5 linked regions of the Tribolium castaneum genome follow. The main gene of each other region encodes a partner of the protein of the gene in region 5 in a complex. Links are inferred from orthologs where the notes say so. Each region holds a gene or a part of one and is shown on either strand. Other genes may lie near its edges. The genes, in order: zinc finger matrin-type protein 2, Prp38, Mfap1, beag and Smu1.

Region 1 (5,104 bases), on a different chromosome or scaffold from region 5:
CCTGAGAGTATAGTGAAGTTGGCCACTTTGGGCGATATTAAGCCGTCGTGTAATCGCGTGGCCGAAAATTTGGAAAAAATCAAGGCGTACCTCAAAACCTGTACTCCCCCGAATCAGCCTGACTTGTATATGCAATTGATCAAAGGAGTTGAGGCGTTGCATGAGAAGATTTGTACAGAATCTCCGTTCAGGAGCCGTAAGTGAAAATGGATTATTCAGGGAAATTATTTTTATTAATTAATTATTTAACAGAATTTGAGAAAATTCACAAATGCCTTCATGAGCTCAGAAATGATTTGGAGGACTGTGGAGGACCGGCAGATTGGAACGAAAATTCAGACAATGCCGCAGTTTGCAAGTAAGTGCATAAATGAAATTCGCTGTTTAAAAGTAACTAAAAAATATGATAAATTAAAATACATAATAGCATGATGTATAATTTTGTGTGGAACCGTTAACTTACTGAGACAAATATGTCAAAAATTCTTATTTATTATTTTCCTCTTTTCCTCCTTTTTTGTGTAACAAGCCGGTCAGTGTTTAATAACTAATTTTGTATTATTTTTAAATCCAGAGCAAAAGTTTTCATATTTGATATAAATTGTATGTAGATTTCTATCACAACGAAAATAGTTTGGCGCTTTTATTTTTGTACTCATAAGCGCGGGTACACGTTTCTGTATGTAATATCAAAGATTAAGGCAATCTGTGGAAATATTTTACAAATTTTAAGTAAATTTGCAAAACCTTCATTGAAAAATTTAAAATAGAAAAAAAATGAATTTAAAGAGCTCTGTCACCTGTTAAAATTAACACGCAACTAAACTAAACTAAACCTATGACCAAACTTATAATTAAAATAATAACTACAAACATTAACCTTATTATAGTTTTCAAAAGAACCTTATCTAGCATTTCTGAACATTCACTTTCGATAAAACTCCAATTTCTGTTGTTCTGGCACTAAACCAGCAAAAAACTCTTTTAACAATCCGGGGAAAAACATTTCTGATACGACATACATGAAAGCATGACGTCAAGTCAAAGACATTTCATTGGTTTATTTGTAAGTGGTCGATATGGAATTTAGTAAAATTCATTTTTACAAAAAATAAAGATATTTTCACACCACACGCCACTGCGTTTTAACGCGATTACATCGAAAAGTTCGTTACGAACTTTGAAAAAATCGCCAAATTAGCCAAAAATATTGTTTTTACTTTTTTCAAGCCTTCAACAAGTTTTGGAGCTAAAAAGTTGAAAATATGCAATCAAGTTTGGTGCAACGGCAACTTAATAAAATATAATTAACATTTGAATTTAATAGTACTTACATGTTACCTTTGAGTGTTACGAAACTTATTTAACATCATGGGCTTCTTTGATCAAATATTTAATTGTTTTCAGGGCTTACAAAGACATAGCTGACTGTTATTACATCAAAACTGCGAAAGTGTGTGGAAACAGCGCTGCAGCAACAACTAAAGAACTTCTACAGTCGATAATTGACAGTATTCTCACAATAAGCTGTGACAATGTGAAGGAGACGCCCAAAGTCAAGGACCCAATGCCTGAGGAATATATGAAAAAAGAAAATAAGGCAACTTGTTCCTTCACATTTATTTCATTTACAATTATTTTTTACAGGCTGACACAATGATTCTTCCAACTGTACTTCACTTACTAGTTAGCATAATATTGATTTTTATTTAAACTTCAACAAATCTAAATTATTGTAATAAAGGTATTGAAAGACATTTTGCTACTTTTTTTTAGACGATCCAAAACCTGCAAATCCCATAATGCTAGCAAGCTCACTTGCTTGTTCAGATGTTTCTTCCAACATTTCCTCAGCTTTTCGCTTCTCTTTCCTTTTCTCCCTCCTGTATTCGCGTAGCTTTTCCTCTTCTTCGGCAATTTCCTGCATGCGAGCTGCCATATCGTAATCTTTTTTCTTCTCCTCCATTTTCCGCTTGTTTTGGTCAAACCTTCGTTTAACTGCGTCCAGACTGCTGCGTTCGATCCGCATCGACATTCCCAAGTTTCGTTGATGCTTTTTGCCATTGATGTGATCCAAAAAGTTGATTGAATCTTTAACAACACAGTCGCAGACGTTGCAGTAGTAGCCCCCCGATTGTGATGTTGGTGTGTTTTTGTTTATTACAATGCTTTTGCCAAGCTTTGAATCCAGGTCTACTTTATACTCTCGGGTTTTTAGCATTTCACGTTTCACCGGGGGGCCTTTCTTTTTCTTGGTTTCTTCTTCGAGGCGCTCGATTTCTTCCCTCTTGCGCTCCTCGGCTAACCTCTCGTATTCGTCCCTGTCCCATTTTCGGCGGTGGTCGTCTGGTCGCATAGTCATTTCTGATGATTTTTCTTTAGCAGGATCACAATCAATTAATAAAAACTCAAGTACAATAACAGTGTTGACAAACTGCAGTACACATTGACAGCTGTCAAATTTTCAAGGTTAGGTTATGTTGCTAACTTCATAAGAATAAAGGTTCATTTTCTAATAAATTGCGAATTTGCGCCATTCAGGATGTTTATATATATCATTAGATTATTACAATTGAATTCATTAAACTCATAGAATACTTAATAGATTTTTTAATTTTTTGGTTATTCGACTCTGCTATTACATCTAACGAAGTTAGCTGGGTTACCTGTTTAAAAATTTAAGATGGGAAAAGATCAAAAAAATCCCGTAATCAAGACAATTAGTTATTTATTTCAATTTTTTTATTAATTTTTAAAATCTAATTCACAGAATCTTTCGTTTGCAATTTTTCAGTCTGTGGCTGTTCAAACTACCACTACGTTATGAGTTAGTTATAAGTTATAAATACCAAAGAAAAAGTGGATAACTCAAAAAATTTAAATTTTTAACAAATTATTATTTTGGGTAGGCAACACAATATTCAAATGGCAGCCTACGCAACTAATTATACAGAGTGTTCCAAGTTTTATGGTCGAAGCAAAAATTAATATTCTAGTCGAGTACAAATAAATTAAATTAATTTAAATTACAAAAAATCAAATTGAATTTAATTCAAAATTAAACTAATTCAAATTAAGTAGCATTAAATACATTGACAAATGTCGAGTTAACCGCGATTAAAATTTAATTGCAATTAAAATGTTTTGTAAACCGGCGCTCTTAGTCTAGACAATTAATTACGCTACCATTTGATATTTTGAATGTGGTCAAGTATTAATTGCTGTGAAACATTATAAACCAATTTTTTAAAATAAAGTTCAAGGTGTATTTTCTATTATATGATAAAATTCTTTCAATATTTAAAACCGTAACTGCTAACATAGAATTATACGATTGTTGCCAACTTTTGAGTAATATTATTATTATTACATTATCAGAAAATTCTGATGTGGGCTCTATTCCACAAACGACTTTTACACTTTGCGCTTGCACGTTCCCGAACACCTTTATGTTCCACCAACAACAGTATTTTGCACACTTAGCAAAAAATATACTTAGCAAAAATACTTCTTTTTACAAAAATATGCCAAAACAAATGCAAAGATTGGTGGAAGACATTAACTTTAAAATTTGCAATTTATGCAAAATGCAAAGTTGCAAAAAATTTTAGTGGAACAAGGTGATATTTAGTGATTAAGGTGATATTAAAAAAAATATCAATTTTAAAAAGCCGATTATGGCGAAACTATAAAGATTGTAATCAAAATCTATTTGATACAATATTACATGCAGCGTTGAGCAAAAGTATTAAATCAAGCGTTTTGTGCGTAAACTATGTACCTTACAAAAAATACTAATTAGTACATCATTAACTACTTTAAAAATGTAACGATTTAAAAAAAAAATTTTGTTCGAAATAATTTTTCAAAATTTCAAAAGTTAAGTAAACCTTACATTATTCAGTTAAACGAAATAAAAGGTAGGGCAAAAGTGATGTCGCATATTTGCGGTCACATATTTTATGTACTCAACGTCAGCATCAGTAGCGCGCAATAGTTAATAATTTATTTGTCCGTGTAGGTTAGAGAACATACGTTTTTTAAAACTGATTCTTATGCAAAATTTTCTGCTGATTTCGAATCCGAAGTTCGATTTTCTGCATGGAATTGCCTTTATTATGTGAACATTTTCGAAAAACTTAAAACTGGTAAAATTTTGTGTTTACATGGTCATATCTTCCTTCTGCATAAAGCAAGAAAAATTTTTTTTGCAAAAGATTACTTACACAAACTAAAACACAAGTTTTAGTTTCGACAAAAGAAAACTAAGAAAATTGGATTTTTCTTGTAACGTTTCATATTTTTGTAGTGAAATTTTCAAGATGCGAGAATTTTTTTTGTCTTAAAAGATAGACCTATTTATACATAATCGAAATGAAATTATGCCAATTGATTAAATATGTTTTTGGCCCAAAAATCCTTTTGATATCTTTAACACTAACAAAGTTATTGCAATTGACCCGGCGCATCCACCAAAATTAAAATAATTTTATAAATTTTCCCAGTTTTCTTTTCTCAAAACTAAAAATTGTTTATTTATGTTAAAAAGTACATTCATTGAGAATCTTTTGCAAAAAATAGTTTCTATCTTTATCCCGAAGGATAAAGATACGACGATGAAAACGAAAATCTCTTCAAAAACAAGTTTTTCATAATAAAAGCAATTCCAAATCAAAAAAGTAACTTTAGATTCGAATTCAGCAGAAAACTGTACAAAAAGATAGGTATTCAGTAAACGGTTCGCTGAATTGGAGCGAGCGCGCAATAGAAAACTAGTCTAAAACTACAAATATTTGTCTAATTTTTTAATTTTTAATTTATTTGTTTACACCATTTAAAACAACAATTTTATTAATGGGTTATTAATGAGGCGTCTTGTCGCTAGGTTATTTTGTCGGTAAGCCATTTTGTCGGGGCTATTTTGTAGCAGACTCTTTTGTCTGGTCACGGGACAATATTAAATTCTTATTACTTTGTTTTGTTAAAAACCAAAAGAATAAAACACTGAAACTAAAAAATACTTAAAGTGAAAAAAGAGACGAAATATCAGAAACTTGTTTATTTAGACTGACAGTACTTCCAACCAAAACCAAAAAATTTTGAT
Region 2 (5,306 bases), on a different chromosome or scaffold from region 5:
AAAGACAGGGAGAAGCACAAGCACAAAGAGAAGGTGGCCGAGCCGGCGGCCGAACCAATCAAAATCAAGATCCAGAAAGACAAGATCCAGCAAATGCCGAACCCTATCAAGATAAAAATCCCGAAAGACGTGATAAAGACTGAGGAGAATCCAGCGCCGGCGCCGCCACCAATCGGTCTCAAAATCAAGATCCCGCGCGAAATCATCAATAACTGCAATCCGGAAAGCGAGAAAAGCCGGAAACGGGAGCGGGATCGCAGTAGTCCGGCCGACGGCGGCCCCCCTGCAAAGCTCTCCCGCAGCAAGGACTCCAAACAGAACGGGAGACATTCGTATAATAAGGTAAGCGAATATAGTAAGAGTAGTGCGATGGGGGCGGTCGTTCCGCCCCCCGCCGCCCCCGCGTCCACCTATCACAGCGTGCCGCCGCCGATGTACACGCAAAACATGTACTATTATCCGCCGCATATGGGGGTGGGTCAGTATATGTATCCGGCCGAGAATCAGATGTACAATTATTATAATGGGGGATACGCGTTTCCGCCGCCGGAAATGTATCAGCAGGCGCCGCCGCTGCCGCCCCCGGCAGGGTCCAACCCGCCCCTGCCGATGGACGCGCCGCCGGACATACCGCCCCCACCGCCCCCGGAGTGATGTGTGCGATTTAGAGACACGATTTCGGACCTCGTGCTAGTTAAGATGACGTGATATATGAAGGGTTTAGAGAAATTTGTAAATAATTTATAAGAGTGCAATTTTTTTATCGATTTATACTTAGGATTGTACCGTGTTTTTGTTATTTTTCTGGTAGATATTACTTTGTTGAATTGTATCTATGTAGTTTATCTTGTAATTTTAAGCACTTTTTATAGTCTTAACACACTCTTTTATTTATTAATTCAATAAATAAGTCGACAATGAAGGAGATTCTTTTTTTGACGTGACTTGTGTAGTTTGTGCATGTGTTTTCATTTTCTGTTTGTTTTTGTGACGCTCATTGCATGGTCATGACTAACTCTGTCCACTACTAACGTGACCGGCTTACGTGTGAATGTTGGACCTAGCAAGGTCATTATATGGTTATTTGGTGCTTTGCAGGTGACACAACTGGGTGATGGCGATGCGTCCATACATAGGTTGGCCGAATCTAAGTATATCAACAAGAGTTCATCGTAGTAATTGCGACAAACGTTAACTATCATGTGTTAAAATCAGCCTAATGTATATAGTAGAAAACTTTTTTTAATTTAGAAAAAAATGTTTTAGATTTTTTATGTTTATATAATGTAATGGCTGATTGCAATACTGTTACTCTATTTTGTTAATTAAATTATTTTGTACGACCTCTCATTTTGTTATTAATAAATACTCAAAAGTGAAATTCGTTTAGTTTTATTTTATCACGGGTGGAAGCGGCTTTTCTGCGAGCGAAAATATTGCAGTCATGCCATTATTCCCCCCGATTTTTCTTGTTAGGAAGTTCGGCCTAAATCTTGTTATATTTAGATAGTGCCAACTGTCTTGTACAGCATTTTGGTCATTAGGTGATTCATGTAACCACATCTAAACATCATTCTCATGTGGAACAATAACATGCGTGTGACATTTTATGTTCAGTGTATTTCTTGTGCTTCTTTTGGTTTTGTTGCTTATGTCCGACTGATTAGAAACAAAATTCTAGCATAGTTGAGTGTAAAACTTTGTGATCCAATGGACTGAAATCTTAGGATGTGTTGGATTCGTCATGTATACAAAAATTTGCAAATATTTTAACGAATTTAATATTTTTAAGGGATAAATTGTAAATAGTTAAAATTTTATTTGATAAGTATTTATTATTTTGTTATTAATATACGATATATACGAAAACTGCAATTCTGGAAACTTGTACCTAAACAAAAATGAGAAAAACGAGTGTGTTAGGAGCATTATTTTATATTGTATTACAAACGTATATTATAAATAAAAAACTTAAATCATTGGAAATAAATATTCACGCCCACTTTTTAAGTTAGTTGGAATGTTTATCGGGCTTAAACAATCTAAAAAAATATAAAAACAAAAAATTCTTCGAAAAATAACTTATGTATATAGTCCACACGTTTGCTGCCTGTGTTTCACTGTTATTGTTATTGTATTCACTCATTCTGTTATTGTCTGTTTTCCACAATACAAACATTGCAAGACTTTCTACAGCAGTTGATTTTCAATTTTACTCCACTTCGAGGTGGTGAACGTGTTAAGTAATAAGTAAATAGACACTAAATTTATAATATACTTCTCAACAAACATAAAATAGACAAATAAAGCTAATGCCTAACTGTCTCAATGTCATCAATAAAGTTTTTAAAACGATCGCAAGTGTTTGAATCACCCAATCCCCCAAAAAGCAATTTTACATCTTTAACAATACCATCGATACGCTCATTTGGATGCGTTAATAATTTTCTACTTGCATAAATACTATTTATTAAATTATGAGCGTTTGTTCATGTTTAAATTAGAATGGTGTCTGGTGGTAATAACCAAAGTTACCAAAGGTTGGCACTTTTTGTGGGATTCCCACCCGCGAGTCACGCCTGGGGACTAGACGATATTAGCAAATAAGTTTTTATGAGAAATTCGGGAAACGTGAAACTTGTTTATTATTGAAGAACTAAATTGTTTCATACGTGTACTATTGTTTAATTTTGTAATGTATAACCTTAGCCTGTATTTCCTAATTGGATTATTCACACAGTATTATTTGTCTGTAATTTTTTTCACAATGCAAAGCAAAAAGTCTGATAAGAGCGAACCATTTTTAACCTCACTTTGTGTTTACTACAAGCGTCAACAATTTCTTAGAATTTATTGATAAACTGTGCATTTCTGTCGAATTCAGTTGTGCATAAGGTGCGTTAGTGAGTTTACAAATTAAATTAGGCCAATTATGGCAAATAGGACCGTAAAAGATGCCAAATCAATCCATGGCACAAATCCCCAGTATCTGGTTGAAAAGATCATCAGATCGCGAATTTATGACTCTAAATACTGGAAGGAGGAATGTTTTGCCCTCACTGCAGAGCTTTTAGTAGACAAGGCAATGGAATTACGATTTGTGGGTGGTGTTTATGGTGGCAATATAAAGCCAACACCATTTTTATGTTTGACACTAAAAATGCTACAAATTCAACCAGAGAAAGACATTGTAGTTGAATTCATCAAAAACGAGGAGTTTAAATACGTCAGAGCCCTCGGTGCTTTCTACATGAGACTCACAGGGTCGTCCTTAGACTGTTACAAATATCTTGAGCCTTTGTACAACGACAACAGGAAGTTGCGGCGACAAAATCGCCAAGCGCAGTTTGAAATTGTACACATGGACGAGTTTATTGACGAATTGTTACGAGAGGAACGAGTACGTGTTTTTTTTGTTACGGTAGATAGTAAAATTAATTTTTAAGGTTTGTGATGTTATTTTGCCACGCATTCAAAAACGCATTGTTTTGGAAGAAAGCAACGAACTCGAAGCCAAGATCTCGGCCCTTGAAGACGACTTGGACGAAGAGATTGAACTTGAGGAAGAAAACAAGTACGAGTTGGTTGAAGAAAAGCCCAAAGAGAAGAAAGAAAGGGAGAGGAAGCGGGAACGCAGCAGATCCAGAGAAAGGCATCGCAGTCGGAGTAAGGAACGCCACAAGAAGGAGAAGGACAAGGAGAGGGACCGCGACCGGGAGAAGGAGCGCGATAGGGAGAGAAGAGACAGGGAGAAGGAGCGCAAGGACCGGGAGAAAGACCGCGAAAAAGAGCGAGATCGTAAGGATAAAGACAGGAAACGGGAGCGAGACAGACACCACTGATTTTTCAATACATCGTTTTATACAATCAATAATTAAATACATCAACAAGTTTAGGATTGTGAATATCACAGATTAAGCCTATACCTTAGATTTCCACAAAATTTACATATTTATAATATATACAAATCAAATGGCTCAAAAAGTGGGCGCATTGAGATGAAACAACTTCTCCTCCCTTTTCTTAATCCAGTTCAGCAGCCGCCCCACTGAGTTAATCGCACTGTTTGTGTCAATCAAGGGCTCGAAAACTACATAAAGCTCAAAACCTCTCGTATCCCACGCCAAAATCGCCTCGTCTGAGTTTTTCTCAAATAACAACTTTAGCGGCCTCGTCGAGCAATGCAACAAGTTATGCGCCCGTTTGTACAACTTTGTTAGTCTCTCGTTATATTTGGTGTACGGTGGGGTCAAGCTTGGTTGGTAGAACTGTGCTGTACTTTTGCATTTGTACAAATAGTGCCTAAGTTCGGGGAAACCCGCAACAATGCAAGTTTCTTCTTTCGCACTCAGCGACTCATTGATTGCTTCTAAGCAGTTGCTGCGTCGCAGTTTTTCCACTATGCGTTGTTTCGCCTCACTTAGGGCAAAAAATACGTCCCTTTCCACCGTCAGGAGGAGCAAACACGCTTGACAGTCTTCAGCCAAGTAGGACACATGTCCGTATAAAAAACCACTAGCGTCAAACCGTGGAAGACATAACGGTGTCCAACTTTCAGCCGTTTTGAGGCTTTCGGAGGCTTGGACTAAGTTAAATATTAAATGGAGATCGGCCGGGTGAAGGCAATATTTTTTCATGCGGACTAGAGTGATAAGTTTATTGTTTGCGAGAAGTATTGCGAAAACTAGGTTCTGGAAACGATATTTTAAAAATGTTTTTTGAAACAATTTTTTTACTTTAATTTTGCTGCAAGCTCCGACAATGGCCGAGCTGATGTTGTCTCTCACTGAGGACGCAAGTGACAGACACTGGACTGCGCCCAAAGTGAACGAAGGCTCCTTCTCTGAGAAATCTAGCAAGTGGTCAATGAGTCTCTCAACACCTGCCAGAAGCCGTCTTAAGTCATAATTCTGGCGTTGCTCGTAAATTTTATTAAGTCTAGTCAAGGTTAAGACACTGGCTATTTGATTAAATACGTAGCTGCAATAAACAAAACTAGAAAAAATAACAAAGTGGGAACCCTCACTTTAGTTGTGAACACAGCTGATTTACACTTTCCTGCGTTCGAGAAACGGCGACTAAAATTAACGGTTTCTTAATTAAAAAGACAAACTTCGTGTCCCCGGCATGGATGCTCCTAATGGTGTCCTCATTTGACTGTACGAAGCTAACCAGTGTTTGCATAACACCGAACAACCAGGCTAGCTTATCCTCGTTTCCATATCTGAGACATAAGTTGTAAAGAAAAAAATTATGCAAACGATAACAACCTCGAATAGATGGGTTTCCCGGCCATGCTGAGGACA
Region 3 (6,442 bases), about 890 kb from region 5:
TGGGGCCAAAGCCGAATATTTGAAAGACTGTCCGCCGCTGGAGTTAAACCTCCACTTATTGCATTATGAGCCCAATGACCCGCAACTAACGCAAGAATCAGACAAGTCCACTCCTTTGATTGACAATTGCCTTGCGTTGGAGTGCCCGAAAAATTTGCGAACGATTCAATACAATAAAGATTTTGCGGCGAAAATGCTGGAAGCGGAGTACTACTGGAAGACTATTGAAGAACCCAAAGACATAGAGCGCAATATTAACGTGACTGTTATGGATATAGAGTATTACGAGACTTTTATTTCGCATCAGCCTTCCAAAACCGGGCGTTTGTTGAAGAATGACAGCCCGGTTAAGCAACAGAATGTGCCCGCTATTACGTACGATTGCCAATTTGAAGCGAAACAATTGCAAATTCTGGACGTACAATTCGACAATCAGAGCCCGAACTTGTGCCAGATTTATCAAGCCTTGACGGCAGCTGAAGCCAACGATATCGTCAACCTCGAACGGCTTGAAACCCTCGGCGACTCTTTCTTAAAATTCGTAGCTTCCTTGTACATTATTTTCAAATTTCCGACCTACAACGAGGGCAAATCGACCACTCTCAAAGGGAAGCTGGTCAGCAACAAGAATTTGTACTACTTGGGAGTGAGGAAAAATCTGGGCGGTATTTTGAAAAACAGCGACTTGTCCCCGAGCGATTGGGTCCCTCCGTGCTTTTGCATCCCACAAACAATCAGCAAAGCAATCGGCAATAAAGAGTATTCAGTAGTCTCGTTATTTAACTGTTGCATTTCGCCGGAGGAGCAAGTTTCAGGTAACTTGAACCGAAAGACTTTGAGCGATATGACAACGGAAGAAATTGCCCCGGATGAGGAAAATTCGTACGGCAATATGTGCAACTTTTTGAACAAACAATACGTTGGTGATAAGAGCATAGCGGACTCTGTTGAGGCCCTCCTAGGCGCCTACTTTCTAAGTGGCGGGATTCAAGGCGGGATCAAATTCATGGAATGGATCGGCATTTTGCCCCTTTCTGAACAAATCCAACGCCTGATCGAAACCACTCAAGTCGACCCCGTCCTCAATAAAAAATCCACGAAAACTGATGTCGATTTCCACATGCCACAGTGGCGCGAAATCGAGCAACGTCTCGGTTATACGTTTACCAACCGGGCGTTTTTACTCCAAGCTTTAACTCATTCTTCCTATTCGCCGAATCGCATAACACTGAGCTACGAACGGTTGGAGTTTCTTGGTGATGCTGTGCTTGATTTCCTCATCACGTGTTATATTTTCGAACATTGTGGGCATTTGGAGCCGGGTCAAGTGACCGATTTGCGGTCATCCCTTGTCAACAATAACACGTTCGCAAGCCTTGTTGTCCGATGCGGGTTTCACAAGTTTTTGCTCATGATGAATTCGAATTTGCAAGGTCATATTGACAAGTTTGCCGATTACCTTGCTTCAAAAAATTACGTGATCGACGATGAAGTTCTGATTTTGTTGGAGGAGGATGAGATGAATATCGCCGAGTACGTCGATGTGCCTAAAGTTTTGGGTGATATTTTCGAAGCCCTTGCTGGCGCAATTTATCTAGATAGCAATAAGGATTTGAAGACTGTTTGGAGGGTGTTTTACAAGATTATCTGGCGCGAAATTGATCTTTTTAGCAAGAATGTGCCAAAAAATGTCATCAGGAGATTGTACGAGTGCCATACTGTTTACCCTCCGCAATTTAGGTAAGTTGTGTTGCGTTTGAGCCTTGATTTATTTTTTCTTTCACAGTAAAGCGTTGGAAGTTGGTAATCAAAAGACTATGGTTTCTTTAGACTTTATGTGTGAAGGTAGAAAGAAACGAGTTCATGGGTTTGGAACGAACAAAATCTTGGCTAAAAGGGCCGCTGCCAAAATTGCTCTTCGTGCTTTAAAGTTGTAATTAACGCACGAAGTCACAATGCGCTTATATTGATTCAGTTACTCGCTAGGATTGTTTGAAAAATGCTGTTTTCCATTGTTCAACTATATACCGTCAGTTAAATTCATTCGCTTTGATACCTATCACAAAAATGGTGAATTTAACTCACGCTGATAATTAAGTAGGAGAATTTTTAAATTACAGCCAACCTTTAATTTGTCATTAGGTGGTTCCAAAAATAATTCGTTTTCAAATTAAAACTGTTTCAAGTTAACCACTCAACCGCATTTTAAAACTGACTGGTTAACATAAAACTGTTTAATTTAAAAACTGTTGCGAACTTTAGTCTATACTTTATGATGATGTTAATTTACTTTGTATATTGCTTGAAGCTTGTATGAAAGTGTGATTTCCCTATTACATTGTTCTTTAATTGATGAATAAAAATATATATTTTTTGCATCTAAGTCTAGTGGTTATTACACCTTACTACTGCGTTTTCCTTTTTTTCAACGAGGGTTTTTCAAAGACTTGCTTGACGCCCCCTGCTTGTGTCGAGTGAAATTTGAGATTTTGCGAGGTTTCACTTGACCAAGGTGAATCGAAATGAGTTGTGTCTTGATCCACCAAATGTGTGTACTTCGTTCGTCCAGACCGTCCGAAATTTTTGACTTGCATAACTTTCGGCAAAATAGTTTTATCGAAGTGATCTTCCAGAGTTGCTTGTGCGAAATCTCTCTTGAAAACCTCGTCCTCCTTATCAAGATAGAACGCACCACGGTGGTAATATTTCTGCAAGAATTTGTACTTCCCCTTGATGGCTTTGTTTGTGACTTGTTTGGGGTTTAGTCTCAGCTCAAGCCTTCTCTCTTCTTCCGTCATGTTCCTCAATCGTTCGACTTCAAGTCGCTCTTTTTCAATAGCTTCGCGTTCTTCGCGATCTCTTTTGATTCGCTTCAACTCCCTTAGTTTCCAAGCTTCGTATTCAATTTCGTCGTTTTCATCGTCTGTGCAAACGTCGTTAAGGTTGGGTTCGTTATTTTCTTTATCTTTCTGTTGCTGTTCCTTCCTGATTGTTTCCTCAACAAGACGTAGCGTTTGTCGCCGCCTTTCTTCCGCATTTCTCACAGCTTCCAATTCTTGCTGCTTCTGCTTCTGTACCTCCTTTTCTTTTTCTATGATCGTGATCCTGTCTTTCTTTCTTACAAAAATCGGTTTTAATCTGGGGCCAGTCTCCTCCTCCGAATCTGTGTACTCTTCATACTCTGACGATTCTTCCGACGACTCCGACTTTTCTTCTTCTTTCACCATAAACTCCTCTTCCTGCTTTTCCATCATGCGTTTTTTCATCATTTCTCTGCGTTTCTCGATTTCGCTATCGCTAAGCTCCACTTCGGACTCATCATCGTCAGGAGCCGCCTCCAGTGTGTGTTTATGTTCGGGTAAATTAATTTGTTCCTTTTCGGATTCTTCATCAGACGATTCCAACACTTCTGGCTCCACAACGTGACGGCGGCGTTCTGGCCTCACTTCAGTTTCAACTTCTGCGATTTTCAGACGACGCAAACGGGGGTCATTCAGTTCGTCATCGCTGCGTGAAGGCTCCGGCGTTGGGGGCTGTTGGGGCTGATTGCGACGCTCCAGGAAATCGTCGTCGTCGCTGTCGCTGCTCGAACGCGCGTCTTGGGCATAATCGGGCTTCTTTCCAGACACGTAGCGGTGCACCTTCACCTTTTGCATCGAAATTTCGCCTGGAAATAGGCGGAAACGGCTCAGAAGGCATTTTTATTTGTTACAATTTTTTTATTAATTTTTGACAATGAGGTTATAGCCGTCATAGGTAAGAAAGATATTTTACCTTTTTCGTTGCGAACGGGAACCGCACCCGCAGTACTCTGGATGCCATAATAGGGCTGGGGGTTCATCATTGTGAAAATCGACTATTGAAAGTCGTTTTTAATTCTAAAATAAACGAAAATTGTTTTTGTGCCACAACTTTACATTTGACAGTTGACAACACAGGTTGACAAGTGACAAGCATAGAATTGAAAAATAATCAATGAATTATAAAAATAAAATCAACCGGTTCGAGAATTTTTTTGATAAATGAACCAAAAAAAAATTTTGTTCGTAACTGATTTAAACTCAGCGCAGAGACTTGATTGCAAACATAAATAAATAAGGTGTAATTTTGGTTGTATAATAATCAAACCAATATATTTTTTATAATAATCGCAATAATTAATACAGAATCTATGGATTTTGCAACTTAGAATTTTATTATATTGTATTATCTATTGGTTTTTATATGTTAAAACTATATCGTGTTTCTTTCTAAATGATACGTGTAGAAAATGTGTTCCTTTTATCAAACAAATTACAAAAAATTGTGACTTTTATTGTTTAAATTGGTAATAAAGAGTAAACGTTTTTTTTTGTTTATACGTTTCATTCGAAAGTTATTTGGATTGTTTAAACCTGTGGGTAAAAAAAGTCGAGGGCCACCAACGTAAGAAACCGAAATGCAAATTAGCTGTTGCCGTTGGGTTGGCAATACCACCTGTTGATGCTGAATCAAGTTAAATCTACGAAACGCAAGCGTGGAAGAAGACGCGGCGAAGCTGTGTTATTATAATTTTTACGCGATTGTGCCAAAATATTCCAACATTATGAACAAATAGAGTGGTTGCGGGTGTATTTTCTGTGTTGTGTGCATTTTATGAGTTACAATAATTGGATTACAAACGGCAACACAACTTGTACCAAGTGGTAAGTGTGATGGAAAGAACCGTCTTTGAAACCGTATTTTCGGTTATAAACCATCCACCGGTAACCAGCGTCTGGTTTACCGTTTTGGTAAAGCATTTTCGAGTTGGCTGGTCTTGGCTGGCCTCGATGGCAGCGAGTTGAAGCGAGTGTCCATTTGAAAAACCGCTGAAAAATCGAATAAATGGGCTATAATTTGCGTAATTGAAGCCAATGCCGGGATTGTTATTGTCAAGTGCGGATAAAAACAGCAAAATAGGCGCGGCAAATTCTTGTTTCTTGTATGTCAGCACGATCAAGAAGTCTGTGTGGAGTCTGACGTTTAGGCAGGGCATGCTGCGATGCTATTATGCAAAGTATACCAAGAATCACTGTCTATGGGGCTACCAAAGTGTTATTTATCTTTCGGCCTGCAGACGATGACGTCGAGATGGATGTGATGGGAATGGGTCAACGACACCCGGAATGCCCCCCTTTTCTTTCCCGGAGTTTTCCGGCGATTTTTTCGGGTCCGGAGACGACGTGTCAAAGGTCTACCGGTTATTAGAGACGCGGATGGAATTCATTTAAATGTATTATCGGAGATCGCTCAGAATCAGGTTTTCTGCTGGTGTTTGCTGAGCGATATCTGGGTCATTAATTGTATTTATTTGCCAATTTATAAAAACAAAACAAGGAGGACACTACAGGGAATCAACTGGGTTTTATTACTCGTTAACTGACACCGCTATGCAAAAATTGTGAAAACGCAGTTGACGTCATTTCCCATAAACTCGAAGGTGAAGTAGTTTTACTAACATTTCACAAATAATTGAATCGCATTTTACCAGATGTGTGTAAGGTTTCTAAACATTTTCTCTTCGAATCCACAAATCCGCAAATTAAATTAGTAAATTACCCTGAAAAGCACAAATGAATCTTACTAATTCTTTTAAAATTATCGTTTTCCATAACGAAATTAGCACAGATTCGATAATATTGCAATAAAACTGCATTTATCTTAGACAAATAAATAAGTAATAAATGCAGTTGTTGTTGTCAATGTTTTGTTATTTAACACAGTACCTTATCATTGTAACTTAAGAAGACTACAATCATAATAATGTCACCAAAAAAAGAAGCAGGAAGAAAAGAAATTCTAAGAAATTTTCAAACGCTTATCTCTATTTAAATATTTCATGGCTCTTCGAAGTATAAAAAAATAATTAGGTGTGTTACTTCGCTTAATAATAAAATATGTACATTTTAGGTGAAATTATTTACTTGACATGTTGACAGTCTAATTCAGTCCAGGTTTGGACTTTAATTTCATGGCCAACCGGGTTCCAGTACGTGTGAATGGGTGTAAAAATTCGGTAGCAAACAATGAATATATTATGTTTTGACTTCCCATTCCTAATTAGAACAAATTATAAGTGAATAGTTTCGTTATTGCGGTCATTTACCACTCGAAGAATGTCTTTTATATATTTACCAATTCATTAAATAAGCATTAAATTCAAGTCTTAAACGGGTATTGTTCTTATTCGGTTAAACTTTCTATGGAACTTAATGAATCAGGTCTAAACTAAATATGAGGAATTTAGCACGATTTCTATACACTTTGAAATTCTTTTTGCAAGGTTTTACGGCGAGACTTTTCAAAACTAGAAGTTAGTAGCGAGATATTTTGAAAACAATGCTCGCTTTGCATTTCTTGGCGGCGTGAAAACTAAATTATTGTGTTACGAGGATGCGGATATTTGATTATGACGTAACAG
Region 4 (6,693 bases), on a different chromosome or scaffold from region 5:
AGCCTTTTTTTCACTTAACAGATTTTCCGACACGATTGTAACCACAAAATGGCCAAAAACTTGTGCCAACTGTCAAAATCGGGACTTTTTTGTCTTGTGATTGGTAGTGTTATGGTAATATCGTAAAAAAAGGGCAAATTAATTTGTTTTTGGGCACGAAAGGGCCCTTAAGTCGAGAGCCAGGGTTAGGTGGTGGTATTTAGGTTCAAGTTGTGTCAAAAGTAAGGATTCTACGGTTAAGATACCAAAGACGTACAAATGAAACGCTCGCGTTTTCGGTAGTTCCTTTATTGTCACCAGAGAGCGCACTTGTTCCATTAGCAGATAGCAAAGAAAAAATACAGGCACATAGAGCATTAAACTCTCGATAGTAAGACAAAAAAGTAAGGAACAAAGTTGTAGAAAATCAAATTTCCAATATATATTTTTTATTTAAATTAACTTATTTATCTCCTAAATACACAACAAAATTATTTCTTCTTGATAATGCTTTGGATTTTTTGCCACTCCCTGTCCAAATGCGCCTTTTCGTTCTTATCCTTATGCTTCCTGGACCTGCGCCCATCTGCCATTTTAAGGCCGTACTGGAAGGCTGCTTTCGGCAAAGCCTCCTTCTGGTTCATATAATCGGAATACTCCTCAGCTGTGTCAAAGTCCCAGCGTCCAATCGGCCCCTTTTTATTCCCCAAGTCCATCTTAGAATAATCAACCTCATCATCAGAATCATCAATCGCATCGTTCATTTCCTCCAATCCGGGATAACACTCAGCATATCCCTCAGGCTCTTGAGCCAGTTTATTAAGGATTTGTGCCGATTTACTGACTTTGAAAGTCGGTCCGCTATTTTCAAGCGCTTCCTCTTGTTTATCAAAGTACGTGTGTTTGTTATGGTCACGTGACGAGTTTCCATGTTTACCACTTCTTGTGGGTACGTAATCACCAATATCTCCATAGATGGAGTCATCACCGGTTGTACGTTTTGTTGTTTTTTTCGGTTCGGGTTCTTCCGGTTGTTCGTTTTCGCGACTTTCGGGGAGTCCCCGTTTGGTTTTTTTGTTCTTTCGGTTGCCTTGGCGCAAGTAACTTAAAATTTGGGTTAATTTATTTATGACAATGTCGTTGGTTGTGAGGGTTGTGGTGAGTTCAAATGACGGAACGTCGGCGATTGAACGGATTAAAGTTGTTGGAATGTCTGATTCAGCCTCATCGTCTGAAATAAAATTTTAATAGTCATGTTGGTATTAAATTAATAGGAATTTTAACATTAAAATTCATGTAAAAATTTTTAAAAAAGAATCACAAAAACCTTTAAAAAATCCAAAAAGAAGTACAGAAACAATGCTAGAAAATAAATAAGAGCAATTCTAAAAGAAACTAGAGAAGAATTTTTATAAGCGAGAGAGGAGAATATAAAAAAAATTGCGGATTTAAGATCTAAAGAAGTCTTTAGGAGATAATCATAAAAATCTTTAAAAAAATCTAAAAGACAGTAAAAAAACAATGCTAAAAAATGAACAAGAAGAATTCTAAAAGAAACTAGACAAGAATTTTTATAAGCGAGAGAAGAGAATCTAAAGGAAAATTTTGCTGATTTAAAATCTAAAGACCTCTTTAGGAAAGAATCACAAAAATCTTTTAAAAAAATCTAAAGGTAAGTACAAAAACAATGCTAAAAAATAAATAAGAAATATTATAAAAGAAACTAGAGAAGAATTTTTATAAGCGAGAAAGGAGAATTTAAAGGAAAATTTTGCTGATTTAAAATCTAAAGACCTCTTTAGGAAAGAATCACAAAAATCTTTTAAAAAAATCTAAAGGTAAGTACAAAAACAATGCTAAAAAATAAATAAGAAATATTATAAAAGAAACTAGAGAAGAATTTTTATAAGCGAGAAAAGAGAATTTAAAGGAAAATTTTGCTGATTTAAAATCTAAAGACTTCTTTAGGAAAAAATCACAAAAATCTTTAAAAAAACCTAAAGGAAAATACCGAAACAATGCTAAAAAATAAATAAAAAATATTATAAAAGAAACTAGAGAAGAATGTTTATACGCGAGAGAAGAGAATTTAAAGGAAAATTTTGCTGATTTAAAATCTAAAGACCTCTTTAGGAAAGAATCACAAAAATCTTTAAAAAAAATCTAAAGGTAAGTACAAAAACAATGCTAAAAAATAAATAAAAAATATTATAAAAGAAACTAGAGAAGAATGTTTATACGCGAGAGAAGAGAATTTAAAGGAAAATTTTGCTGATTTAAAATCTAAAGACTTCTTTAGGAAAAAATCACAAAAATCTTTAAAAAAACCTAAAGGAAAATACCGAAACAATGCTAAAAAATAAATAAAAAATATTATAAAAGAAACTAGAGAAGAATGTTTATACGCGAGAGAAGAGAATTTAAAGGAAAATTTTGCTGATTTAAAATCTAAAGACCTCTTTAGGAAAGAATCACAAAAATCTTTAAAAAAAATCTAAAGGTAAGTACAAAAACAATGCTAAAAAATAAATAAGAAATATTATAAAAGAAACTAGAGAAGAATTTTTATAAGCGAGAAAAGAGAATTTAAAGAAAAATTTTGCTGATTTAAAATCTAAAGACCTCTTTAAGAAAGAATCACAAAAATCTTTAAAAAAATCTAAAGGAAAATACAAAAACAATGCTAAAAAATAAATAAGAAATATTATAAAAGAAACTAGAGAAGAATTCTTATAAGCAAGAGAGGAGAATCTAAACGAAAATTTTGCTGATTTAAGATCTAAAGACCTCTTTAAGAAAAAATCACAAAAATTTTGTGATTTTGAAAAGAATCTAAAAAAAAGTACAGAAACAATAAAAAGGTATATCTGAAAATGTTTTAAACGAAACTTAAGAAGATGTCTATAAGAATTACAGGCTTGAACAGCTGAAAATTTCAGACATAATCTATAATACGTAGTTTATGTGTAAAAATTGATAAGAAAAAAATTTATCTATACCCAAATCAATCACATAGGCCATGCGTCCGGGCACAAAAATCTCCGACCGTTCAATATGCCGACTCTTCAGCGCACAAATCGTGTGGTAAATCGACTTCCCAATCTTCGTCTTAAACTTAAGCTCATCCTCATCCTTCTTCTGCACCTCCTTCTTCTCCTTCTCCTCCGTCTTGGCCGCCAGCCTCTCCAACTCCTGCTCCTGCTCCTGCTCGATGTGCTGTATCTCGCTCCTCACCTTCTGCAACAGGGCATAATCCAGCCCCTTCACCAAATGCGTATGCTCCATATCGCCCCCCAAGAACTTGCTCTCTTGAATCATCTGTCGGCGCCTCTCGGCCGCATCGAACCCCGACTTCAGATCAGGCGCCACGGCACGATAGGCCTGAGCCGTGGCCACCGGGTCGTCGCTCTGGTAGTCGGGGTTCACCCCCTGGCGGCGCTCACTGGCCCTGTCTCGGTACTTCTCCGCCAGTTCTGCCATCTTATTGTCCTCCTGCTTCTTCAACTTGGCGTAGTAGCTCTTCTTCTTGCGTCGCGCCTCGTTCTTGTCGTCTTTGGGGGGCGGCATCGTCGACGAGTTGGCCATCGCCTCCCGGATGGAGCCGGGGGCGGGCGCGTTCGCGGGCGCCGACCGCGGGGTCATCAACAACTTGCGGAAGTCGTCGTTGGTCAGCCGCTGCGACCCGGGGGCCGCGTCCGAAGGCATTTTTAACCAAAAACTGGGCCTGAATGTTGCAACTAGAACTGTCAACTGTCAATCACATAACCTTGCTTCCTCCTAGCCAGAAAAAAATTACAGTGAACCACTTCAAATGAGACCAAATAGCCCCAAAATGCTAAAAACAAGCTTTTTGCATTTACTACAATTACTATCGCGAATAATTAACCAAAATAATCAAGGAAAAACAGCAAATTCTTGTCGATAACACGTAGAAAAAATTAAAAAAAAAACAACTTTCCAACCCTGTCCCACAACTAACACTTAGTAATTATTTAATTAAGTATTTTTGCAAACCTACACGTATTTTTTTTTGCAAACAAAATTTATCAAAGTTTCAAACCAAAAAGTGCAGATTCAGTTGGGGCGCCTAACCACCGTTTTTTTCATACTGGGGGGGCTTTACGTTACGGTGAATAAACGCAAACGGCTTGAATAATAAATAATTCACCGGAAATATCACTATTTGGGGCTTTTAATTCATTAAATTAGTAAATAGGGGTGTAGGAACCTGCTTGTTACCGGCGGAGCGCACCTCCGCCATGTTTGTTTGAAAATTGTGAGCAAAGCGTCTGTTTTGCGGCTTTTGAAGTTATTTTAATTTCTTGCACGAAATCCCTCCAAAGTTGAGTAAAATTCGGCGTAAGTGTGCCCCGTGCGCCCCCCGGTGTGTACAGTGTGTTTTCTCCATCAGGGCACAATGAGCAAAAGCAAGAGGACGAGTCCTTCCCCCGCAGACCAAGAGGCCAACGAAGAGTACGTTGTGGAGAAAATAATCGACAGTCGGATAAATGCGGCCGGTATTAAGGAATACTACTTGAAATGGATCGGTTACGACGACAAGGACAACACATGGGAGCCCGAGGAGAACCTGGACTGTCCCGGGCTGATTGCGGCTTTCGAGGCCGAAAGGGCCAACAAAGACAAGGAGCGCAGCAAGAAGCGCAAGATGAACAGCACGCCGACGCCCGACATGAAGGGGGCCAAGAGGAAGAACGACGAGAAGAAAGTGCACGGGTTTGATAGGGGGCTAGAGCCCGAAAAAATAATCGGGGCCACGGATAGTTCCGGGCAGTTGATGTTCCTCATGAAGTGGGAGGGTACAGATGAGGCGGACTTAGTGCCCGCGAAACAGGCGAATATTAAGTGCCCCCAAGTTGTCATTAGGTTCTATGAAGAGCGTCTCACTTGGCATTCGCCCACAAATGACGAAAATAAAGCCGAGTGAAGGCTAGTTGTAAGGATATTCATAATGTACATATTCAACACGAATTATATACTATTATTAGACGAAAAAATCATTTGGACTAAGTAGGCGTTTAGAATCTTCCCGTATTATTATTATTTGAATCTGACTCCCTAGCTGTAAGTTTAGTTTCTTGACTTAATCAATAGAAAATTGTAATAATTTTTTTTATTTGAAATAAAACAAAACACCATTGCTTCGTTATCACTTATCACCCGAAAATATCATGAAAAGTGGTCCCATTGTACCCCACATCGCTAGTCGGCGCGTTCACGAAGTGAATATACATCCTAGAAACACAAAAAGTACAAAACCACACCAAAGACCCAATTACCGGTCCTTCGAAACCCCCAATTCCTTGCACACAACTTCGTACAAAGCCTTGGCGTGCTTTTTGTTTGGTTCCACGCCCAAGGCGCCAATGCTCATCAGAGTGGCTTGAGCGGCGGGCTCACTGGTGCCCCCCCAAGACATGTGGACGTCTCCGATCACAGTAGCCACACAATACTTGAAAAAAATTGAGTTATTCAAAGTTGACGTAACCTCAAACTTACATTGAGTGGCTTTGATAAGGAATTTGAAACAACTTGGCACAATTTCTGAGGCAAATCGGACGGGATTTTGCTCTGGGGCACGTTTGTCTCAACGCGAAAGTGAGGCATTTTGCGGAAAAAAATTGGCGGTGTTTTTATAACCTAGAAATGGACGTCAGAATTGACCTCTGGGTGACCTCCCAGGGGGGGGCGGGAATTTATACAAAAAGTGTATTGTTGAGGAAATTTGAATTTTTGAGTTTGGAATTCAAAATAGGGGCACAAGGGCCTAAAAATGCAATTTTAAAATTGGATTTTTTCAAATTACGGGCAGCCATGTTGTAGTGTTTGAAATGGCGGCAAATTCGCAATTTTACTATATTTTTACCTTTTTTTTCCTTATTATTAAAAGCTACGTCCAATAATTAAGGTGTTCCATTTGAAAAAATCTCACTTTTGTGTTTTTTTAATATTGGGACAGTCTGTATATGGGTAAAAAACGTTGTAAACAAAATACCAATATTTTTTATTTGTAAGAAACAAACAAGACCATTTGGGTAATCAACAATCACTTTCCAAAAATGTCATGAAAGGTGGTCCCATTATAGCCCACTTCACTGGGCGGTGCACTGTTAAAGTGAATATACATCCTAAAACCAAAAAAAAAAAAACTCAAAAAAATCCCTAAAACCACAACCTGTCCTTTGCAATTCCCAACTCTTTGCACAGAATTTCGTACAAAATTTTGGCATGTTTTTTGTTCGGTTCTATGCCCAAGGAGCCAATGCTCATCAAGGTGGCTTGAGCGGCGGGCTCACTAGTGCCCCCCCAGCACATATTCACGTCCCCAATTACAGTGACACAACAATACTAAAAAATAAATGTAAGAATATTCGGAAAATCTTGAACTTGTACCTACACTGAGCTGTTTCGACAAGGAATTGGCGACGATTTGGCACAATCTTTGCGGCAAATCGGCCGGGATTTTGCTCTGGGGCACATTTGTCTCGACACGAAAGTGTGGCATTTTGTAGAAATGACTGTTTGTTGGGGTTTTAATGTTGCGCTTTTATAATTTAAGTTGTGACCCTTGGGTTCAGGAATGTGAATATTCCATTCAAAATTCAAAGTAATGTTCAAGGCCTTTTGTAAAAAAATGCTAAAAATCAAGCGTTTTTTGAATTAGTTCGGGCCGCCATGTTGTGTTGAATAAAAACG
Region 5 (6,653 bases):
GGAGCTTGGACAACGTCAAGCATAAGCCTGGCGGAGGCGACAAAAGGATCTTCGACGATAAGGAATATTTAAAGCAGAGGTCGGCTATTTCTAGCGAGAATCATTCGCTGTGTGGTTCTCAGGTGAGTGTTACTTCTGGACCTGTTTTTACCGAAACATTATTACCAATTTTAAAATGGACGTAAACCACTGTGATATAACAGATTCTAAAGACTGACCAAGTTCGTATAATTTTCTTCCAGGAGAAGGAATATCTTTACAAATTTTATTGAGTCCTTCATCCATTTCATTTAGGTTAGGGAGGTATTCTGCAGACGAAAATCCAAATTTTTGTGTACACATCATTTTGTCAAATCGATACTAACAAAGTTGAGGCATGAGTTATTCGTGTCGTATGAGAAAGCTCGATTAACTATTAGCTTTTGTGATGACGATTAATAACTGCATGGATTTTCACAATGTCCTTTTGAAACTGTAGTTGTACTTTTCGTACGTAAACACAGTTGGGGCTTTTTATGATAGTTGATTTCGTTGATTTGCTAGCTTTAGATTTATTAACATTGACGATTTTGTGTAGAACTCCTTGCCGTCCCAACCGGAAGCCGGAGGTCCAGTAGCTGATGAAAATCTCAACCAAGAACGTTAATTTGTTATTTTTTAATTAATGTGCCGTCTCTAAACCTATATTAGACCAGTTGATACTTGGATATAGTTCTTTAACTACCGATAAACATGTGGTTGGAATACATTTGAGAAGTAACATTAACTTACTGATACAGCATGAGGCCCGTGTTCGAAATGCATGTATTACTTGGAGAATAATAAATTGTATATTCATAGAGTATATTTAGATTCCACTAACACTAACACTGTATTTTCCACTAAAATGCTGAGGTTCTAGTGTCACTTTGCTTAATTTTCCTTTCATTTCGAGTAAAATAAGCAAATGCTGTTCGTTTCAAGAATATATTTTTCAATGTAAAGTAATATTAATGTACGATAAAATAGTTTGGTGTTGTGATACCTAGAATAATGACCAAACGATCAACATTTTTGTACTGTTTATTAAGGTTGAAACAAAATTATTTCCTCTAGTTTTAATTTACATTTGTAGTTGATAGCGTTAAAATTGTGGTTATTCGTTGTAAAAAGCTTATCAAAACGTTTTATCCTTTAAGCGAGAAATCTTTCATTTTGAAGCGTTTTGATACGTTTCAGTTATGCTGTTTCCAGTAAAAATATTTTATTTTGTTTTGCAAAATAGATGGTATTGAGTATATCATCACTGTATTAACTTTATAAGAAGCATTAATAAAATGTGCATTAGTATATAGTAGCAGCTTTTATTTTCACCAATTTTTGCACCAACAATCACACACGCTGCCCAAAACACTGAACACAAGCCGAAATGCCTTAGGTAAGTTTTGAATTTTTTATTTTTTACAGTCTAGCCTTCTCAAACGAAATTGAATATTTTATTACTCCTGAAAATGTCACTGCTTTTAAACATAAGCCTGAAGATAAATTCGTATTTTTAGAAAATTGTATCCAAATCAGCTCGTGAGAGATATTTTGATCCAAGTGAAGAAAAAGCAAGAATTTTGGAAACTGTGAAAGAAGAGGTTGCTCGAAAGAATCGTCCTACTTCAGCATTTTGCAGGAGTGGGTCACTGAAAGTTAAGAAAAGTGCAACACCTCGACCACCGTGGAGATTTTAAATCGCTTAACGATTTTTTTTATTTTTTTAAATTTCTTTATTAAATGTGCTGCTTTATTTAATTCAATATCCGATCTAAAAATTCATTAGGCAACGCATTTTTGTACTATAATTGAATTGTATTGTCCAACAATCATGCAGAATTTTACATAATCTAATATTTGTTGTCAGTTTTTAAGTAAATGGTTGTTGGACTATAATATTGTACCAGTATTAGTTGTAGAAAATTATTTAGGAAAATTAGGAAAATTACAAAAATTAGTTCATTAACTGCAGTAGTCAGGAAATATAGTGAGCGGCAAAAGCGGAAAACAGAACGTCAAATAAAAAAAAGACGTTAAAAAAAACTGAATTTTTGAGAATTCTTTTGCTGGTCATAAATCTTGTACTGATCATAGTATCAATATTAAGAAAAAGAAATAACCAAATACTATGTAAAATTATATCATTAGAACAAAATTTTCACTTTTATACAATGATATTATTAATCCACAGTTTTCACAATACCACGTACAAAAAAAAAAAAATAGTTGTGTATATATTAAATACATTTAGATATTCTGTTTAAGCAAGTATGTAATGGTAAAATTATTATTGCTTATGTACTTATATTTTTTAGAAACATATGTGGATTACCATAATTATTTGTTTAGTGATTATTTTTTTAGTTTAATATTTCAACTAATATTAAAAAGTTGATTGTCCCATATTGTTTATGGAAATAGAATTGTCTTAGTTAACGTTAAATAAAAATTATCTTGCACATATTTTCTCTGATACTGACCAAACTCCCACCAAAAACAACCCCTATTTGTGGGAATTGGGATTAGAAAAAACAAAAGTTGGTCTGCAGTAAATAATTTTCGAGAAAAACTCGTTTAAATAAACCGTTAAATAAGTAGGGCTAGTGGTGAGGTGACCGCCCTAACAATATATTAGGCAAAAATAAAAAATAAAACTGAAGTTGTTTCAAAAAATTTTTGATTTGGCGACATCTAGCGATTTTGTGTTGTAGTGGAGACATTAATGTCAAAAACGTAAGTTGGAGTTGTCAAAAAAATAGGATCATTTTATTTGCAATTTAGCACTTTTTTGTCATTTGAAACGTGATTATTAGCACAAGAATAATAACGTAAAGCCTCTGAAGCCACAACTCCTAAAATATGTCTATAGAAATCGAATCTGCGGAGTAAGTACGACATAACCAAACAAACAGTGTTATGTTTTTATTTACTTGCAGCGTAATCCGCCTAATTCAGCAATATTTAAAAGAATCTAACTTATTAAGAACTCTTCACACACTACAGGAGGAAACTGGTGTAACATTAAACACTGTAGATAGTGTTGATGGGTTTTGTGCCGACATAAACAACGGGCATTGGGACACTGTTTTGAAAGCGATACAGTCCCTTAAACTCCCTGATAAAAAATTAATCGACTTGTACGAACAGGTAGACGCCAAATTATTCAACTAGTTCGCGAAACTACAAATTTCTTAGATTGTTTTAGAATTAATTGAACTCAGAGAGTTAGGAGCAGCCAGATCCCTACTCAGACAAACAGACCCCATGATAATGATGAAGCAAAACGAGCCCGAGCGTTACATTCACCTAGGTACTCAACAAAAGTAAACACTTCAAAAATAACTTTTTTTACAGAAAATTTACTCGCTCGTTCATACTTTGACCCCCGTGAAGCTTATCCAGACGGAGGCAGCAAAGAAAAACGCCGTGCTGCTATTGCTCACGCCCTTTCAGGGGAAGTATCAGTTGTACCATCGTCACGTCTTTTGGCCTTACTTGGCCAGGCGCTAAAATGGCAACAGCACCAAGGCTTGTTGCCTCCTGGTACCACAATTGACTTGTTTAGGGGCAAAGCTGCCATCAGAGACCAGGAAGACGAACAATTCCCAACTCAAATGGCCAAACAAATCAAGTTTGGGCAAAAGTCGCACGTGGAGTGCGCTCGCTTTTCACCAGATGGACAATATCTGGTCACAGGGAGCATTGATGGGATTATTGAGGTGTGGAATTTCACCACCGGGAAAATTCGCAAGGACTTGAAATATCAAGCCCAGGTAACAGTTAATTCTAATCTTTAAAAACTATTTTCAAAATTCTTTTATAATTTTGTTTATATTTTTTGTAGATTATTCTTAAATATTGTTTCTATATACTTCTGTACATTTTTTTAAGATTTTCGTGATTCTTTCCTAAGCCATAAAGACTGAAATCTAACTTTATAAATTCTTCTTTAGATAAAAATATTCTTCTCAAATAGAAAAAATTAATTAACATCAAAATATAATTTTTTTTTCGATTACATTTCGTTTAGGAGAGCTTTATGATGATGGAACATGCAGTATTATGTATGGCGTTTTCGCGAGACAGCGAAATGTTGGTAACTGGGTCACAGACCGGAAGAATCAAAGTTTGGAGGATTAGCACGGGCCAGTGTTTGCGAAAAATCGAAAAAGCTCACTCGAAAGGTATCACCTGTTTACAGTTTTCTAGAGACAACAGTCAGGTTCTAAGCGCTTCGTTTGATCACACTATTAGGTAATAATTTAAAATCTAGTGGCGCCAATTTTACGGTAATTATAGATTACATGGCCTAAAATCTGGGAAAATATTGAAGGAGTTTCGTGGGCACACTTCGTTCGTAAATGAAGTTATTTTCACTCAGGATGGTCATAACGTTTTGAGGTATTTTTTAAACTTGTGTCTTCTTTTAAAACATTTTTATTTAGTGCTTCTTCTGACGGAACCGTTAAAGTGTGGAGCATCCGAGCTGCGGAATGCATCAATACTTTCAAATCTTTAGGCGCGGGCGATATCACGGTGAATAATATTCACAACTTTGCAAAAAATCCCGAACATTTTGTTGTCTGTAATCGCACGAATACTGTAGTTATTATGAATCTTCAAGGACAGGTAAATTGTGATGTTACCAAAAACATAAAAAATTCATTTATTGATAGATTGTGAGGTCATTCGCAAGTGGTAAACGTGAAGGTGGTGATTTTGTATGTTCAACAGTGTCACCAAGAGGTGACTGGATTTATTGCGTCGGGGAAGATCTAGTCTTGTATTGCTTTTCCACAAATTCTGGTAAACTCGAGAGAACTTTAAATGTAGGTTTTTCACCAATGGTTTAATACAATTGTGGTTTACTAATTTTTGTTCCAGATTCATGAAAAAGACGTTATTGGTATAGCACACCATCCACATCAGAATTTACTCTGTACATATAGCGAGGACGGACTCGTGCGTTTGTGGAAACCGTAATTATTGTAATTTTGTAACGTTTGTAATCCTAAGAAATAAAGCGTAAATTCAATTCAGTTTTTTATTTTCACACCCAACTGAAGTCACCACATGTGACGCCACCTCACGGCGTCTCTGTAAAAAAGTAAAACTTCTAAAAAAATCGATAAAATATAACAAAGCAATAAATTATTATTTAAAGGACAAAGAAATTTCGAAATCTGGGATAAACTTAAATAAAATCACTACAAAATATAAAATAAAAAGAAAAATACCGATCTGTCAGTGTCACTGTCACTTAATATAACCTCAGTTTTCAAGGGAACACATTTTTTCAAATATTTTAAAAATGAAATTGGATAAAATTTGTCGCACGTGTTTGCTCGAAAAGGCCAGTCTGAAGCCGTTATTCGGAGCTTGTGTGGCCAATATGTTAATGTCGTGTGCCTCAATTCAGGTATTTCATTCACTTTTTTACTTTATTTAAACATGTGTCCTGAAGGTAATTGAGGGCGACGGTCTCCCCTGCCAAATTTGCACGCAGTGCTTGCAAATGGTAAACAGGGCTTACAGTTTTAAACAGCAATGCGAGAAATCCGACGCTTCTTTGCGACAATACATAAACAGTGTCGGTCTGCAAACTGTGTCTTTGCAAGCAGAGCCCAATATAATGATCGGTGATATGAAAGCTGACCAGTTATTCGGCAGCAGCGAGGTTTTACAACAGTCTTCTATTTTCCAAGATATTTTTAACGATGCTACGTCGCATTCCCTGGTTGATAACTTTACGAATCAGAATGATAGCACAGGTATCGAACTGTGCAAACATAGTTGGCAGTTTTAATCAACAGTTTTAGTGGTGTCTGACTTGGCCGAGACCATGCAAAGTCTCCAGACTATCGCAGAGCAGTGTTTGCCAGAAACGTGGGAAACTGATACCCAAATAATGTCCTGTCAGAGCAACTCGCAAGAAACGAACTGCAGTACTTTTGATTTATCGAATTTGTATCGGTGCCAATTTTGCGAGGATATTTTCAAAGGTGTTAGTTTCACCCACTTCTCATTTTATTCATTCTGGTTTGTAGATGAGTGGACTCTCGGCGAGCACATTAAAATCCACACAGGTCAGAACAAATATTTCTGCTCCATTTGTGGAAAAGGGTGCACGACCCCTGCCTTCTTAGAAAAACATATAATGGAGCACTCGCTCGATAAAAATAATACAGAAGAAAAAAAATTATGTAACAGTAACTACATGTGCAATGTAAGAGCGCCAGATATTTAAATAATTCAAATGTTAATTTGTCATTTGTTAGATCTGCGATCGGACGTTTAGTGACCACAAATTCCTCAAAAAACATTTGAAAGAAATTCATTTTACGACGCTTGATGACGATTTGGCCGACGTTGAGCGCAAACACGTCTGCACAATTTGCAACAAAAGTTACAAACAGAACAAGCTCTTAGTCATGCATATGCGGTCACACACGGGCGAACGGCCCCTAAACTGCGAGGTTTGCGGGCGAACTTTCGCTCTGCCCAGCTCCTTATACAAACACCGAAACATCCACTGCACTGAGAAAAAATACGGGTGCAACATTTGCGGGAAAAAATTCAACCAATCGTCGAACCTTACGGCGCATTTGCGGACCCACACTGGTAACACCTGA

The links.
Region 1: Smu1 (region 5) and zinc finger matrin-type protein 2 share a complex: the UniProt entries of both Homo sapiens proteins name them as parts of the spliceosome B complex. The link is inferred for Tribolium castaneum from reciprocal best matches to the Homo sapiens genes SMU1 and ZMAT2.
Region 2: Smu1 (region 5) and Prp38 share a complex: the UniProt entries of both Homo sapiens proteins name them as parts of the spliceosome B complex. The link is inferred for Tribolium castaneum from reciprocal best matches to the Homo sapiens genes SMU1 and PRPF38A.
Region 3: Smu1 (region 5) and Mfap1 share a complex: the UniProt entries of both Homo sapiens proteins name them as parts of the spliceosome B complex. The link is inferred for Tribolium castaneum from reciprocal best matches to the Homo sapiens genes SMU1 and MFAP1.
Region 4: Smu1 (region 5) and beag share a complex: the UniProt entries of both Homo sapiens proteins name them as parts of the spliceosome B complex. The link is inferred for Tribolium castaneum from reciprocal best matches to the Homo sapiens genes SMU1 and IK.

What each region holds. Positions count from the first base shown.
Region 1 is NC_087395.1:20,715,739-20,720,842, reverse strand, and holds zinc finger matrin-type protein 2, read right to left. Parts: upstream 2,480-5,104; 5' UTR 2,363-2,479; coding exon 1,763-2,362; 3' UTR 1,714-1,762; coding exon of another isoform or gene 1,648-1,713; 3' UTR 1,606-1,647; downstream 1-1,605. Other genes in the region: uncharacterized protein LOC656218, read left to right, coding at 1-196, 253-358, 1,408-1,600, 1,648-1,713. UniProt on the Homo sapiens protein: Involved in pre-mRNA splicing as a component of the spliceosome.
Region 2 is NC_087396.1:19,987,296-19,992,601, reverse strand, and holds Prp38 (pre-mRNA-splicing factor 38), read left to right. Parts: upstream 1-2,766; 5' UTR 2,767-2,932; coding exon 2,933-3,400; intron 3,401-3,446; coding exon 3,447-3,842; 3' UTR 3,843-3,895; downstream 3,896-5,306. Other genes in the region: CycT (cyclin-T), read left to right, coding at 1-654; vacuolar fusion protein MON1 homolog, read right to left, coding at 3,978-4,691, 4,737-4,980, 5,027-5,224, 5,271-5,306. UniProt on the Homo sapiens protein: Involved in pre-mRNA splicing as a component of the spliceosome.
Region 3 is NC_087397.1:4,121,320-4,127,761, reverse strand, and holds Mfap1 (microfibrillar-associated protein 1), read right to left. Parts: upstream 3,964-6,442; 5' UTR 3,845-3,963; coding exon 3,775-3,844; intron 3,668-3,774; coding exon 2,406-3,667; 3' UTR 1,938-2,405; downstream 1-1,937. Other genes in the region: Dcr-2 (Dicer-2), read left to right, coding at 1-1,740, 1,787-1,937. UniProt on the Homo sapiens protein: Involved in pre-mRNA splicing as a component of the spliceosome.
Region 4 is NC_087401.1:16,336,965-16,343,657, forward strand, and holds the start of beag (protein Red), read right to left. Parts: upstream 3,983-6,693; 5' UTR 3,685-3,982; coding exon 2,979-3,684; intron 1,211-2,978; coding exon 471-1,210; 3' UTR 1-470. Other genes in the region: chromobox protein homolog 3, read left to right, coding at 4,397-4,924; macrophage migration inhibitory factor homolog, read right to left, coding at 5,154-5,232, 5,277-5,449, 5,497-5,604; macrophage migration inhibitory factor homolog, read right to left, coding at 6,044-6,125, 6,173-6,345, 6,395-6,502. UniProt on the Homo sapiens protein: Involved in pre-mRNA splicing as a component of the spliceosome. Auxiliary spliceosomal protein that regulates selection of alternative splice sites in a small set of target pre-mRNA species. Required for normal mitotic cell cycle progression.
Region 5 is NC_087397.1:5,007,246-5,013,898, reverse strand, and holds Smu1 (WD40 repeat-containing protein SMU1), read left to right. Parts: upstream 1-2,727; 5' UTR 2,728-2,880; coding exon 2,881-2,906; intron 2,907-2,957; coding exon 2,958-3,168; intron 3,169-3,216; coding exon 3,217-3,331; intron 3,332-3,375; coding exon 3,376-3,794; intron 3,795-4,051; coding exon 4,052-4,275; intron 4,276-4,320; coding exon 4,321-4,422; intron 4,423-4,466; coding exon 4,467-4,650; intron 4,651-4,697; coding exon 4,698-4,850; intron 4,851-4,905; coding exon 4,906-5,004; 3' UTR 5,005-5,056; downstream 5,057-6,653. Other genes in the region: tau (microtubule-associated protein 2), read left to right, coding at 1-122, 1,539-1,718; zinc finger protein OZF, read left to right, coding at 5,333-5,440, 5,486-5,792, 5,841-6,023, 6,069-6,247, 6,300-6,642. UniProt on the Homo sapiens protein: Involved in pre-mRNA splicing as a component of the spliceosome. Regulates alternative splicing of the HSPG2 pre-mRNA. Required for normal accumulation of IK.